Linked DNA regions of Mus musculus: region 2 is reported to be linked to region 1. The links are microRNA targets in miRTarBase. Many come from high-throughput screens and were not tested one by one. Region 1 holds a microRNA gene; the other region holds the end of a gene's coding sequence.

The links. Region 1 holds the annotated microRNA mmu-miR-495-3p (AAACAAACAUGGUGCACUUCUU, at 3,786-3,807, opposite strand). A microRNA usually pairs through its seed, bases 2 to 8, with sites in the 3' UTR of a target mRNA and lowers its output. Matches are read on the target gene's strand: a 7mer-m8 pairs with bases 2 to 8, a 7mer-A1 pairs with bases 2 to 7 and ends in A, and an 8mer does both.
Region 2: the mRNA of Ephb2 is a reported target of mmu-miR-495-3p. Seed matches in the 3' UTR shown: 7mer-m8 at 1,292-1,298 and 7mer-m8 at 1,361-1,367.

What each region holds. Positions count from the first base shown.
Region 1 is chr12:109,715,481-109,722,601 of GRCm38, reverse strand. Mir495 (microRNA 495) reads right to left here and starts at 3,848; the gene lies at 3,786-3,848. It overlaps Mir679 (microRNA 679), which reads right to left and starts at 7,025; the gene lies at 6,952-7,025. It overlaps Mir1193 (microRNA 1193), which reads right to left and starts at 6,931; the gene lies at 6,811-6,931. It overlaps Mir666 (microRNA 666), which reads right to left and starts at 5,517; the gene lies at 5,419-5,517. It also overlaps Mir543 and Mir667.
Region 2 is chr4:136,648,667-136,655,787 of GRCm38, reverse strand. Ephb2 (Eph receptor B2) reads left to right here. Exons shown (of 16, transcript NM_010142.4): 16 at 358-7,121. The coding sequence ends at 466. Among named protein-coding and RNA genes, the nearest start is that of Lactbl1, 30 kb to the right of the region's middle.

The DNA of each region.
Region 1 (7,121 bases):
GTGGAAAGCACAGGCTGTGGAACCCATCTCTCCCTTTGTTCTCTGGGTGGGGGAAGACTGGAATAACCTGCTTTGTCCTAGGGGGCACTTTGTATTCAGAAACATCCCAGAACCACTTGAGATACTGAAAATGTGGGTGTTACCTCTATGATTAACCAGAGGCATAGAGGAGCACTCACCTTTTGAATATCAGAAAGTGAGCGACAGAAGTGTATCTAGAGCCCACCGTACAGTTAAACATAGCCCTGGTTGTCACACAGCCTAGTAGGGAGTTACTGTAAACCCCCACCCCCTCTTAGAGAGTTTATGACAAGAAATCTGTTCCCTTGTGATTTCCAAAACCAGTTCCACACCCATACAGCCCATCCTGGGTACCCTTGGGAGAGATGTCATCAAGGTGGCTGCTGGGGCATCCACGTAGGTGCCACGGAGCACTGGAGACATCAAGGAAGTTTTCTAGGAAATGGGCTAAGTCCAGAAGGCTCCAACACACAGGCTCAATGCATTAGTGTGACACTGTTGGGGATAGGTATAAAAGACACCTTGAGACATGGCTAAGCAGGACATTCATGACTTACTATCACCACACTACCAGGTCCTTACAAGATTAGCTCAAGTTCCTGTCCAATCTTTTTTGAGTACATCAGACACAGAGGCATACCAGTACCGACACTATAAATCTTTGGTTAAAAAAAAAAAAAAAAAAAAAAGCAAAGAAGGACTGAAAACCCCAACTCAGCTAATTAACTCCAACATCTTCGTCATCTTAGCCTTGAGGCCGAAGACAAGTAGGCCAGGTGATAGTCCCCACACATAGAACATATGCTCTGTGACCAGCCCTCCCATATATGTCCAAATAGTGGTGCTGTCATGGGTCATGTTTTAATAAAGTAGGAACTGGCCAGAGAGTTTCATAAAGCTGGGTAACCAAAGACAAGAGGACCCAAGGATGCTGAGGCCTCGCCCCAAAGAGCCAAGGCCCCTCCTTGTATCTACAGCTTGTTAAAGCAGAAAACCTCACAAACACCTTCAAGTGCATGGATAGGTCACTTACCAGTGGGCTACACCTGCTTCCTTTCATAGTGCCCTATGAGGCCAGGAGACCCTAGAAAGAAGCAGGACAGAATTCGTTAGGGGATCTGATAGCTGGTTACGGGAGCAAATGTGTTCATCTGTCCTGACCCTAGGAGCAGCAACGGCAAATGTAGCTGTGTGTGAACTGGGTCTGCTCTTTAGGAACAATGTCCAGCTACGTTTAGGTTCATGTGTGTGTGTGTGTGTGTGTGTGTGTGTGTGTGTGTGTGTGTGTGCGCGCGCGTGTGGTGGTGCCAGTATGCTTGCTTTGCCTATGTGTAGAGGTAGGAGATCAAGGTCTGTTGCCTTCTGTAGTCTCACTATCCATGCGTGCATGTGTATGCATGTGGGCACACCCAAGGAGGCAAGAAGAATACATCCCTAAAGCTAAACTTGTAGCCATCCAGTCTAGGTGCTGGGAACTGAACTATGGTCCTCTGCAAGAGCAACAGTTTTGAGCTGGTTATGGTAACATACCTTTGATGCCAGCGTTTGGAAGGCAGAGGCAAGCAGGAGTTCAAAGTCAGCCTCAGCTACCTAAGAAATTCAAAGGTATCCTGGGTTACAATGAAAACTTGCTACAAAAAAAATGTTATCGAAAATTGTTATATTAAATGAGTTATACAAAAAAATCAATATGGGTGCCACATATTCATAGAGATTCCCACCTTCATCTTGCTCTCATCATTTTTCATTTGATATTTGAGCTTGTCCGTTTGGTTAGATCCAGGCGAACCTGGGAAGGGCAGAGTATATTCTTTAAAATTCTCAAAATCTGAAATGCAGGCTAGACATGTTTTTGCTCAAATCTGTCAATCAATTAAGAAGGAAGCGATGTGATAGAAACTAGATTTTTATGTACAGATTTGCCTTGGGAAATTGGATTATAGGATGATTCATTCAATAAACTCTCAAGTCTCAAAATAAGAAAATAAATAAACAAAAGCACTTGCCATCTGGCCAGACATCTGCTCACATACCATCAGCAAGGGGCTGATGCCCACATCGTGTTCCTGAACCTGACACCGGGTACAGAGAGCCCTTCAAGGAGGGATTTTGTGCTCAAAAAGAGGTCAGCGTTTAATATCTTCCACGAACAAACACCATGATGTGGACACTGTCCCTTGGGGCCTCTTGGAACAGCTGCGGCAATCCTGCCCAGGCTTCTCCTGTGAAAAAGACAGCTGGTGAGGTATTGTGCCCAGAGAATATTCTACCCTCAAAGATGGAAGGCTCCCTCTGGGCCTATACGTACCTGGGATGTAGGGGTGAATAGCAGCCCTTAGAAGCCTGCCAATAAAGCACAAAGCTAAATGTGAAATGGAACTGAACAAGTCCGGTTACCTTGGGATGACCACCAGAGGCATTTCTGTCCAGGTGTCCTTTGCATTCCTTGGATGAATCCAAGACAAACTCCCCTCCAGAAGTTTGTGGGCCTAGGGGCCTTGGGCTGGGTGGCAGGTGTCACAGATATAATGTATGGCGTGCTCACTGCTCCACCAGCACCGAGGCCAGTACCCACTAGATGGAAAGGGATTTTCAACCTAAGAAAATGGGTTGACCATGCTTGTTCCATGCCCCTTAGCCTTTCTCCATGGGTATAAAGGGAGAGTTGCTGCTTTTCCAAAGGTGTTTCCATCTTTTATAGGCAGAAGCCAAAACACAGGTACAGCCACAGCCCAAGGGCATCACTGAGCCAGTAGAAACTAAGAGCTAAGTGTGTGGCTAATCCTGGTACCTCTTAGATGGAGTTTGCACTGGGTTTTGATGCGCTATGGTTGTTGAGCCACGTAAGTATAAACAAAGCTTTTATTCCAACTTGAGCAAAGAAAGAAATAGCTAGTATCCTAGCAAAGGGTTGCCTAAGAGTGATCCCATATCTTGTACTGGCTCAGCTTCGGAAACCCTCCAGGGGAGATGGATGGATGAGGTGTTCTCATACTCTCTGGATTGTATCCTCCCTCCCACTCTCACAAGAGAGCCACCAAAGGGCCCTGCTCAAACAACCACACTCAAAGGCAATTTTGATGCCATGAGGAGGCTACCAGAGAATGTTAGCCATAAAGAGAAGTTCACTAGGGAAAAGGGGTCTGAAGTGCCGCCTTACATCTACCACTCCAGAGGGCAGGGGTACCAGTATCAGAGATAAGAGACAGGCAGCAGTGGCTGATGACAGCTTGCTGTTCCCTGGTCCCAATCGTAGCCAGCACCCACCAGTCCTCAAGGCCTTGCTAATGGCATCAAAGAGCACAGCCCGTAGACATGGCAGGATGCTGGTAAAGAGCTGATCTGGGGCCCAGGCTTTTCTAGAGTCATAGTGTTATGTGACACTCACCAACTGACATATCTTGGTAAAGACACCTGCAGCTGACATCTAGACACATGTCTCCAGAAGGAATTGGTGGTTTGGCTTGTATTGGCTGTTTGATTAAATTGCTATTGTTTGGATTTTATAATTTTCTGGGCTTCTCTTATCTGAACTCCATCCTACAACAGAGCCTAAAAGTGCGCTTCCTGGTTTCCCTTACTGACTGTGCCTGTCCCAGGAGGTGGGCATTCTGGACCTAACAATGCACAGAGCCAAGAGGGGCAGGTGAAATTGTGCTTCTTTGAGGTAAATGCCCCTGTGCACATGGTGACCCAAACCCCCTGGCCTCCCGTCCTCCCTCTGGTCCATGGGGAGCTCTCCAAGGTGAGATTTGATATCGAAAAAGAAGTGCACCATGTTTGTTTCGTCACAAATAAAAGCGAAAAATAACATGGGCAACTTCTTTTCAGGTACCACGGCTGAGCTCTTGCTTGTTCCAGCAGTGTGCCTGAGTGTGAAGGGATGCTGAGGGACAGGCGGAAGGAAGGGATGGTGGGTGAGGCAGATACTTGGCCGGGAGGGGGACAGGGATGGGGGTCCTGAGGCAAGGGGAGTGGCTCAGTACTCATCACTGCCATAGCAATCCAGCCCAAACCCCCTCTACCTCAGGATCTCAGGAAGACCTGGGACGAAGACTGAAGATTCTGAGATGTTGCCTACCATCCTTGCCAGTCATTCTGAAGTGTCACTCGGGGGAAATGGGATGGTGCCAAACTCCAAGACAGAATCTCCTCTCTCAGTTCCAGGATCCTCTTCTGAAGCTGAGAAAAAAAAAAAAAGTCAAAGAACTAGGTGGCAAAATCCAGGGCAGCCTAAACCAGCTGTGTGAGTGCCTGGATGATGCCCTCTGAGGTCCCCCCTCTCCCGCACCCAGAAGTGACTTACGATGTAGACAAATACAACAAAGAGCTCACAGGGTACTGGGAAGCAGAAGAACAGGTTGAAATGGGAGGCTCCAGGATTCTGAGCGTGTGAGATGTCTGGGGATGCAATGTCCGTTCATCATCTTGCGGCTGTCCTGAACGGGACATATGACCGACCCTTCCCTGAAAACAAAACGCATTGATTAGTGTGTGTTACCGTTACTGGAAGGTTACAACACTACAGCAATATATCTGAACCACAAAGGAAAGTGACTTGGTACCAACTACCTACCTTAGACTGGACAATGGGAATAATGAGCAAGAGAACATACCATCCAAAGAATGCCAGTTACACTCATTGACAGGCCACTCAACAAGGAGCCATCCATTCCTCTCATAGTAAGGAAAGGCCCACCTCAAGCTGACTTACACACAAAGGAGGCATCCAGGCTAATATAACTTAAAGGTACAGTGACGTGTTGAGCTTCAAGGAGTGTCGGATGCAGGTCCCAGATTGTACTGTTACTCAAATGTCCCATGGTTCCTCTGGGACAGGCACTTCCCCCTCTGTCTAAACAGCCCTGGGTACTGTCCTCTTGAATTCTAGCTGGCCTTCAAACTCAGGGAACAGTGAGATCCACTCAGACATCTCTCACAGAAATGAAGACTCATTCCCCTCCCAGAAGTCTCAGCAAACATCTCCCTGTGGGCTAAGGTCTCATCTAGGAATCAATAATGTCTGGTCAACTGGTTCCTTTGACACTGTGTTGTGGAGGAGGGAGGAGGGAGCAGGAGCCAACCAACCCAAACCCATTCTCATTAAGAAAGGTCAGAGGACCATTCAAGAAGGGAGATAAACTCACACAACCCAGGCTCACTACATAGACTACTTTCCTAGACTAACATGGCTTCCCTGAAGTCAGTAAGTAGTTGAACCCCCGAAGTCTTCAACGTAGAATAGGATGCTGAAAAAGAAGTGCACCGCGAATGTTTCGTCACATATAAAGCGAAAAACACGCGGGCAACTTCTCATTAAGCACCGTACGTCAGCAGCATGGAACCCTGTGTACCACTTGTGTACCGCTGTCGTCACTTCCTGTGGCTTGAGTACCGCTGTCGTCACTTCCTGTGCGTGAGCAGGCGATCACGCTGCAGCCCCGCTGTACCTAGGGGGCTCTCACAGCTGTGCCCGCTCCACGCAGGCAGAATCAGGATCTTGTAGACAGGCTTTGGATTGGTCATCCTTTGGGGAGGTCTTTGGAGTCTCCTCAAACATCAGAGAATGATATAATAATCCTGACTTTGCTTCCCAAAGTCCAGCTCTGGATCCGTGACAAGAGAGGAGGTGGGTCCCGTGACCTCTCAGTCGAGGTCACCACCCATCTGCTAGAGGGGAGGACATCAACCTATGTTCCACGGTGGAGGCCCTGATGCAAGGAGGTTATCATGAAATGGGAAACAAAAAGATATCTGAGCCTTTGTCAGAACGAGACAATGTCTCCTGGACAAAAATATATGTAAGTGGCATGTGGTGTTCTGAGAACAGATTCTGTTGACCCTCCACTTGCTGGGAAATGGAACATTGAGATTAAAAAAAAAAAAGAACATGAATAAAGATAGACTTCTTAGGTGTTCCAGGTAGATAGTTGGTTGCCTATGCTTGTACACATGTTCTCTCCCTCATGACATGGCTACAGGGCACCTCCCCACCCTTCATTGGCTTGACCAATGAAACATGAGCAGAATCACAGTAGTTCCTAATCTCAGTCGGAGAGTTCCTACTTACTTTCTATGTCTCTGCCATGGCTGCAAGAACCACTTGCCAGGAGCCTGGAGGAGGGGCAAGGAAGCCACCTTCACCCCCAGGGTAGCAATACATCAGGAGGTCGTCCTAGGTATGGAAGGCATACTCAGCATTAGTAAAGAAGGACACACATGAAAATATAATATATTCTTTCAGACAGAACACCATGACATACCTTTTCCATTGATGAGGACTCTGGTGTCCTTCCCTAAGGAGATGTCATATCTGAAATACATCTCCTAGTCAGGTACTTGTGCTGGGAAGCAGCCAATGATTTGAATCCTCAGAAGACAAGCAAAATTGAACAGACATGGAGATGAGCAAGAACAACGAAGCCTATGCCATAAGTGACAGATGTGGGCTTGATGCTGGGCTAGAGAGACCTGTCACTCACCCACCAGGAGAAATGTGCCCCAGCTTGGGATATAGCTTCACATTCAGGGGATCCTCCAGGATGGCGTTGTTTACTGCAAAGATACAGGATCATAAAATGAAAGTCACGCCCATGGTAGCCCCCCCCCAACACACACACACACACACACACACACACTCTCTCTCTTGAACACATATATGTACACACACAAGCAGAAAAAGGATCCCCCTTAAAAGCTAACTCTGCTTGAAATATTTTAGTTTCACGCTGGCCTCAACCCCACCAACATCTTCTTCATAGCTGCCGTGTGCACCAAGGTGTCTTCCCACAGATGGTCTGGGTGTTGGTGGATAGTAAAACGGGTGACCTACAGCATAAATGAAGTGTACGTCACCGGTCTACCATCCACACAGCTACCCCGAGAACAGTGGGCATCATTGTCCCTTCAGTCACGATGCTGGCACGTCCTTATAGCTACTGTGAGGAGGACCTTGCTGAAAAGCCATCACACACCAAGAGTCACCTCACAGTCCAAAGCCATAGGGAGTAGCCTCAGGCCACCACGGGGACCCTGTCCCTTCTTCAAATGACTTTCCTTCCAGGGCTGAGTCCTGATGCCATACTCCCATGTCCCATGTC
Region 2 (7,121 bases), not on the chromosome of region 1:
TATTCAGATCTGTAGCCGGATCTGCCTGGTGCCTCCGGGGCAAATCCCAGAGTCTGGGAAGATTTTTCATCTATAAACCAGGGCTTAGTGAAGGAGATTCAAGGAAATGGTTACATGGCCAATGGTTACATGGCCAATATAACCCCTCCCCGCTTCCTGGTGGCAGGAGAAACATGGCCTCCTGCCTCCCCATTGACTGTTGGGACCCCCGAATCTCTACTCTCTCTTTGACACCCAATGCCCATCCCCACACCCCTTCCCCATCCCTCACTAAGGGCCTGGGGAAGTTTAGGCTGCTGGCCCATGACCCCCCCCCCAACACATACATTTTCCTAGTTATGTCTATCTCTCCCAAAGGGACATTCTCCGCGTTGGGGTCACTCTAGCTGGCCACCAGAAAAAAATCCTGAACAGTATCCAGGTGATGCGGGCCCAGATGAACCAGATCCAGTCTGTAGAGGTTTGACATTCGCCTGCCTCGGTTCTCCTCTTCCTCCACGCCGCCCCCTGAGCCCCCCTACATCGGTCCCCCTGCTGCTCTGTCCACTACAAGGTCAGCCACCTGCCAGGAGGCCACAGACAACAGGAAGAACCAAGCAGCACTCCAGCCAAGCCGTCACCAAGAGCCCATGCAAGTCAAAGGAAGGAAAAGGGGATTGGGTGGGGGGGACACGCACCTAGATCTGGGAGGGGGCGGGACAGGCAAGAGACGTTCGTTCCAAGAGGATTCTCATAAGGGAAGTGACGGTTCTTAGAGGAGAAAAGCAAAAGGCTTGGGAGATCCACATGGCCTGTCCCCGTGAAGGCCAAAAAGCATTTTCTCTCCAACTCCTTCTGGGAAGGTTGAGCTGGCCAGAGCCAAGAAACACTTCCAGGAACATTAACATGAAGGGAAGAGGTGAGCCACCCTCCTTGCCTGGCCTTAGCCGTTTCTTGGAGCATCACTAATGGCCCAGCCCCCAGGCACAAGGGGCAGAGAGACAGGCAGTCGCCCCAGATAGGCTCCGGGGAAGTCCATTCCAGCTGCCACCGGCAGACAGGAGGATAGTTGTTCTGTCTTGGGAGACGGTTTCCAAAAACTCCGAGAGACTTTCTGCTAATGGTTCAGGAGGCGGAAGAGGAGCTCCTGGCCTCCCAGGTCACGCCAAACAGGCTAGATCTTCCTGAGGACAGCCACCCAGGTCTGCAGCCCCACAAGGCCCTGCTCCTGATCAGCCTCAGCCAGAGGACGAGGAGGCAGGTGACTGTCATCAGCCTCGACTGCCACAGAGAAGCATACTCTTGCATCTGGGTTTGTTTACAGCGATTCCGTGGACCGGGGGTATTTTGATCAGGGGTGGTTTTGGTCTGGGAGGGTTTTGTTTGTTGGGTTTTTTTAAAAAAAAATGACAATGAAGAGACACTTTGACATTTCCTACCTTTTGAGGACTTGATCCTTCTCCAGGAAGAAGGTGCTTTCTGCTTACTGACTTAGGCAATACACCAAGGGCGAGATTTTATATGCACATTTCTGGATTTTTTTATATGCTTTTCATTGATACCCTTCCCTCCTCCCACCTGCTGCCAGGCCTCACCAAAGCCAACTGTCACAGGGCCACCTGGGCCACTCAGAGACCTCAGTGGGACTGGGAGAGTGGAGGGAACTACATCAGCGCCCACACTGGACCACAGACGGAGGCAGATGAGGGCTCCAAGGCCGGAAGTCCTCCCTTCCTCCCTGTCTGCTCTCATGCTCTCCGCCCTGTTCTATCTGGCACTTCCCAGGCACAGAGGCCCCTTCAGGTTCCTGGGTGCTCTTCAATGGCCAAAACTCGATTTCATGTCTGGGAGCCTGGACCAGGCTACCCGGGAAGTCAGGACCCTGATCATTCACTGTGACACCCCAGCCCTCCAAGGGTACCCCGGGAGACCACGTGACTCTCTCTCTCTCTCTGTCTCTCTCTCTCTCTGTCTCTCTCTCTCTCTCTCTCTCTCTGTCTCTCTCTCTCTCTGTCTCTCTCTGTCTCTCTCCCACTCCTTCTTTCCCCGAGGCCTTTGCCTGGGTCTGAAGGTCTTGGCCAGAGGAACACCATCATCAGTCAAGGGGTCTGGCCGCAGGCTCCCCTGTGAGCAAATGCAGGGAATCCGAGCAGAACAATCGGTTAGTGAATTGAATGGAAATAAATGCTTTAGTTATAAAATGACCCCTGTACTCTGTAAGTTCCAAGAAAAAGATCCTGGCACCTTTGGGACCTGCCAAATGACTTTAATGCTCTTGCAAGGGACTCTTCCCCCTGCCCCTCAGGATCCAAAAGGCCCAGGCTGAGGAAACTCATGGAGGCAATCAAACAAACAAACAAAGAAGCTCATGTAGCCTTCTTAGCCTAGGGTCATCAGAAGCACAGGCAGAGAAGCGTAGGCACTGGGTTGGCTCAGCTCTGCGTTGCGTGTACAGTGCCTGGCTAAGTAAGCCACGTTAGAAGTGGTGGCCCGTGGACCCCATTCAGCCACAAATGTAACCCCCTCCCCCACACAATGCTGTCTCCTGTGCTAAGGGCTCGGACTTACTGTGAGTAGTTCTTTTGTGTGGAGGAGGAGAAGGAGGAAGAGAAGGAAGAGGAGGAGAAGGAGGCAGGAAGTGTGTGTGCTGCAGATAAGACTGTTAGAAGAGGAAGGGGTATCCCAGAGACAGCTCATCTCAGGACCATTTCCTTTGTCTGGTGAGCATCTTTGAGGAGCCTATCCATGGGGGAAGATTGAGGCCACAGGCCACCAGCAAAAGACCCTGCAGTGAGCAAAACCATCGTGGCTCAGCCTGTCATCTGTCCTTCACCTATTCTCAACCCGGGAGCAGAGGGAAGGAAGGGATTAGAGAGGAAGCTTGTCCCTGGGGTAGGGACAGCGGGCCTGGACACAGGGCAAGTATTGGCAAGTTTCCCACAAAGCAGCAAACAGCGGCCCGTTGGCCATCCCTTAATGGCCCAAAGACACCCAGCGCGGATGGCAGCTGTCCCAGCACACAAGGTCACCTTCTGGTGGGAGCTTCTCTGATGCTCTGCAGATTAACTGTCTCCCCAGCCCACCTCCCACCACCCCAGAGCCCCACGAGGCCTGGCAGTCAGTGTTTCCGTCAGATGGCTTCCTGCCTTAAGCCACTAGGCTGGCGTCTTCTAGCCAGCTCATCTGCCCATCCACCCTCTAGTGCCCAAAGTATTCGTGTAAAGCCGTAGGACTCTACATGTCTACTTCCAGAATACGGGTGCTATCCAGACCTTCTGTCTCCTCTTCAGGGTACCAAACAGACACCGTCACTGTGGCAGTCCTGAGTGTAGGCCCTGCTCACTTCTCAACTACAAGACATCGTCCTCCCCCCACTCCTCAATGCTCAGCAGGGAGTGGTAGGCCCTGCTGCCAAGCGCCTTCCACTTAGGCTGCCCGCTCACATGGGCACACAGCTTGGAGCTATCTGCTGCCTAGTTACTAATCCCTTCCTGGCTCCACCCCCCATCCATCTCCCCACTCCCAGCCCCCCCAAGCACTAGCTCCCACCTGCCCAGCATCAGGAACCGCTTCCGGCTGTTCAGCCCAAGCTTGTTTCTTGAGGAAAGAAAGCTGTTTTGTGAACCTGGGCCAGGGCACCATGGAAGTGGGGCCAGCTGCTCTGGGAGAGTGTGCCTGGAAGAGCCACTCGGGGCCAAGTTAAGTATGACGGAGCTGTGCCACCCACCCCAGAAGTCTCACAATGGGCTGTTAGTGGCAATCAACAGGCCTGTTCCTGAGCCGGTATTGAAGGTGTCTTGCTGGTAGGTTGGTAGCACGCTTGCCTGGCATGCACAAAGCACTCGGTTCCACCCCCCAGCACTGCATAAACCGGATATGGTAATATATGACTGTAAACTCGGTACTCAAGAAATGGAGGCAGGAGGGTTAGAAGATCAGTGGCATCCTTAGCTACTTAGTGAGTTCAAAGCCAGCCTGGGCCACATAAGACCTTATCTCTAGGAAAGAAGTTATGGTCAATAGTGACATCCTTAGTGCTAGACCCACTGCTTCTGAGCAGACACAAGAGTAGCAGAGAACACTTATACAATCTACTTACCAGCTGGGCCTCAAGTCCACCCTTTCCAGTATCCAGAGCGCCCACCTTCTCTATGGCTGAGAGGTCTATGCTGCCCCCTTGTGGGCACTCACTAACATTGCACCCCCTCATAGATCCCACCCCTTGCTGAAGGACTCCCACCGGAGACCACCACCCACCCCAATGCCACCCTTGCTTCTCCAGGTGCCTGTCATTTCCAGGGACAGTTCCCAGAGGAAGACCTTTGGCAGGGAGAGGTGCAAATGCACTCAAAAGACAAGATGTAACCTACTTCTGTCACTAACTAGGGCCACGGGCCCCAGGAGAGACTGTTCCTCACTGGGCCATAGCTTCTCATCTATAAAACAGGAGCATTAGGCTGGGTGCTGCAGGCCTGGAAAACCCTTTGTCCACCTCGGTCCCGCAAAGTAAAACACTGGTTCAGGGCCACGGCTCCAGAAAGGGCCACAAGCCTTGGCTTCCCCGCACCAGGGTCCACCCGAACATGGTCACTTAGGCGCAGAAAACAAAGGAATCCAGCTCTGGCGTATGAGGCAAGAGAAAACCAGATGGGATGGGCTATCAGGGTGGGCTTTCAGGGGGAGGCTACAGGCTGAGAGAAAGGTCACTCCAAAACGTAGCAGCTTCAACAGTGCAGCGCAAAAACATCTGGAGGTGTTGTGGGGCATGAGTTGGTGTGAGTGTAGGGCATGGAATTAAGGTCCAGCCACAGAGGCTACCAAGCAGAGATTAGTAGGACTACCATTAGATTATAGAGCAGTGGTTCTCAACCTTCCCAATGCTGCAACCCTTTAACACAATTCCTCACGGTGTGGTGACCCCCAACCATTTGTTGTGGTTTGATTTGGCTTTTTGAGACAGGGTTTCTCTGTGTAGCCCTGGCTGTTCTGGAACTCACTCTGTAGACCAGGCTGGCCTTGAACTCACAGAGATCCACCTCCCTCTGCCTTCTAGGTGCTGGGGTTAAAGGGGTGCGCCACTACCACCTAGCTCATAAAAATGTTTTCATTGCTACTTTATAACTGTAACTTGGCTATTGTTATGAATCATGATGTAAATATCTGTGTTTTCCAGTGGACTTAGACAACCCCTGAGAATGGAGTCATTCAACTCCCAAAGTGGTCACGACCCACAGGTTGAGAACCAGTGTTCTAGAAAAAAAAAAGAGTCAGTTTCAGCCATCAAATCAAAAGAGGAGCTTCCAGCAAGCCCCTGGAAGAGCCCTCGGGACTCCAAGAGAGCCCAGACTCTGCCATTTACTTTCCAACACGGACAAACCCGACTCCACTTCCGCAGCCTGGGAGAGAGGAGCTTGGCTTTGTGTTCCCTGATTCATCTCTTTTTATTTTGAAAGAGTCTCATATATCCCAGTCTGACCCCAAACTCACTGTGCAGTCAGGGATGACCACTATTGAACGTCCGATCCTCCTCGCTCTACCTCCCAAGGGCTGGGATTACAGGCGCACACCACCACGTCTGGTTTTGCAGTGCTAGGGTCGGGAAGCCGGGGTCTTTGTGCTTGGGAAGCAAGCGCTCTACCAACTGAGCTACACCCTCAGCCCATCTGCTTCTGGTTGTAGCTATGATGTCCACACATGGGCATACACCACCAGCCAGCCAGCCTTGCCTCAGATTCCCAGCCAGTGACTGTTACCACAAAACTGGCTGGAGAGCGAGCTTGGCCCCAGTCAGCTTTTCCCACAGAGAAACCAGTGTTGGGGTGTTGGCCTCAAGAAAGGACTTGGGCCAAAGTGGGTTCAGAGAGTCCCCGACCCCCACCCAGCAAGCTGGCCTCAGGCGATTGAAGCCTCAAGGACTAATATCTGAACAGATTACCCTATGCCAAGTGCCAAAATCTCCCTGCCCCCTCTTCGCTAGTGAGGAACATGGCTCTCAAGGGGGGTGGGGGGAACCCAGCCAATCCTAACACCTACAGCCTGCTGACTGAACGTGTGTTTGCAAGTGCTTGTAATCACCCATAGGATAAGCACCTTACCCACTACTGCATGTCGAATTGAGGATTCCAGGGCTCCACCATGCCTCCCTGAGTCAGAATTCCCCATCTGAACAGTGGGAGATTCCTGCCCGCCCCGGAGGGCCCCCTGCTCCGCCTCCTCCCGCCTCCCACCCACAACCCTGTAACAATCTGCACCGAGTGTACTGAGCAGCGCTTAGGGTGGAGCCTCATATCAGATAAGATGCCCAAAGCCCAGACACAAACTAAGACCCTGACAGTGGAGAAGGCAGGACGAACCCTCAGGAATGTGCCCAGACTGGGTTAGGGTTTCAGAAAAATCAAAAAGACCCCCGAAGCCCCAGAGTCCAGCTGAGTTAAGTTCACAGCAGGACGACTGCTTCGGGAAAGCTGATCCGGGAAGAATCAGGAACCTAATACTTCACAGGGGCCCTGCGTCCCAGCCGGGACCACCCTGTGGAGACCCCAACGCCCCAACACCACAGCGCAGACATGCTCGCTCAATACCTGGCCTGGTGGGCCAAACTAGGGCTGGGTGGACCTTCTAGGTAAACCTGACCCTCAAGTCTCCTGAGCCTACCCACTACCCAAACTGAGGTGACAGCAGATGAGCAAAGGCACCTGGGGCTCCCTGTTCCTCGAGGGCCTGGCTCCCCCTGCTGGAAAAAGGGGGTATGGCATAGGGAAGGGAAGGCAAGCAACAAGGAAAGGCCAGAAACCATCTAAGAGCTAGCACATATACTCTGGGCCCTGCTGAGCCAAGAATTGTAGCATTCCAAGGGCTAAAAGACCCCAAGATTTTATGACTCACCAAACGCAATCTCCTAAGAGGCCAGTGGAAAGAATTTGTGTTTGTGAGAGTCCATCACTAGGCAAATCTGTGCTAATTCTTGACATCATAAGCCCCATGGTTCGACGCTACCCAAACTCAGGGGCCCTAGCAGGGAGAAAAAAAGAAAGAAAGAAAAGGGGGAAAAAAGCACAAAGAGAGAGGGGGAGAGAAAGAGAAGAGGGGGAGACAGTAATGCAAGCTGGGGAATCTGGTTACAGATGGATGATGGGGAATAT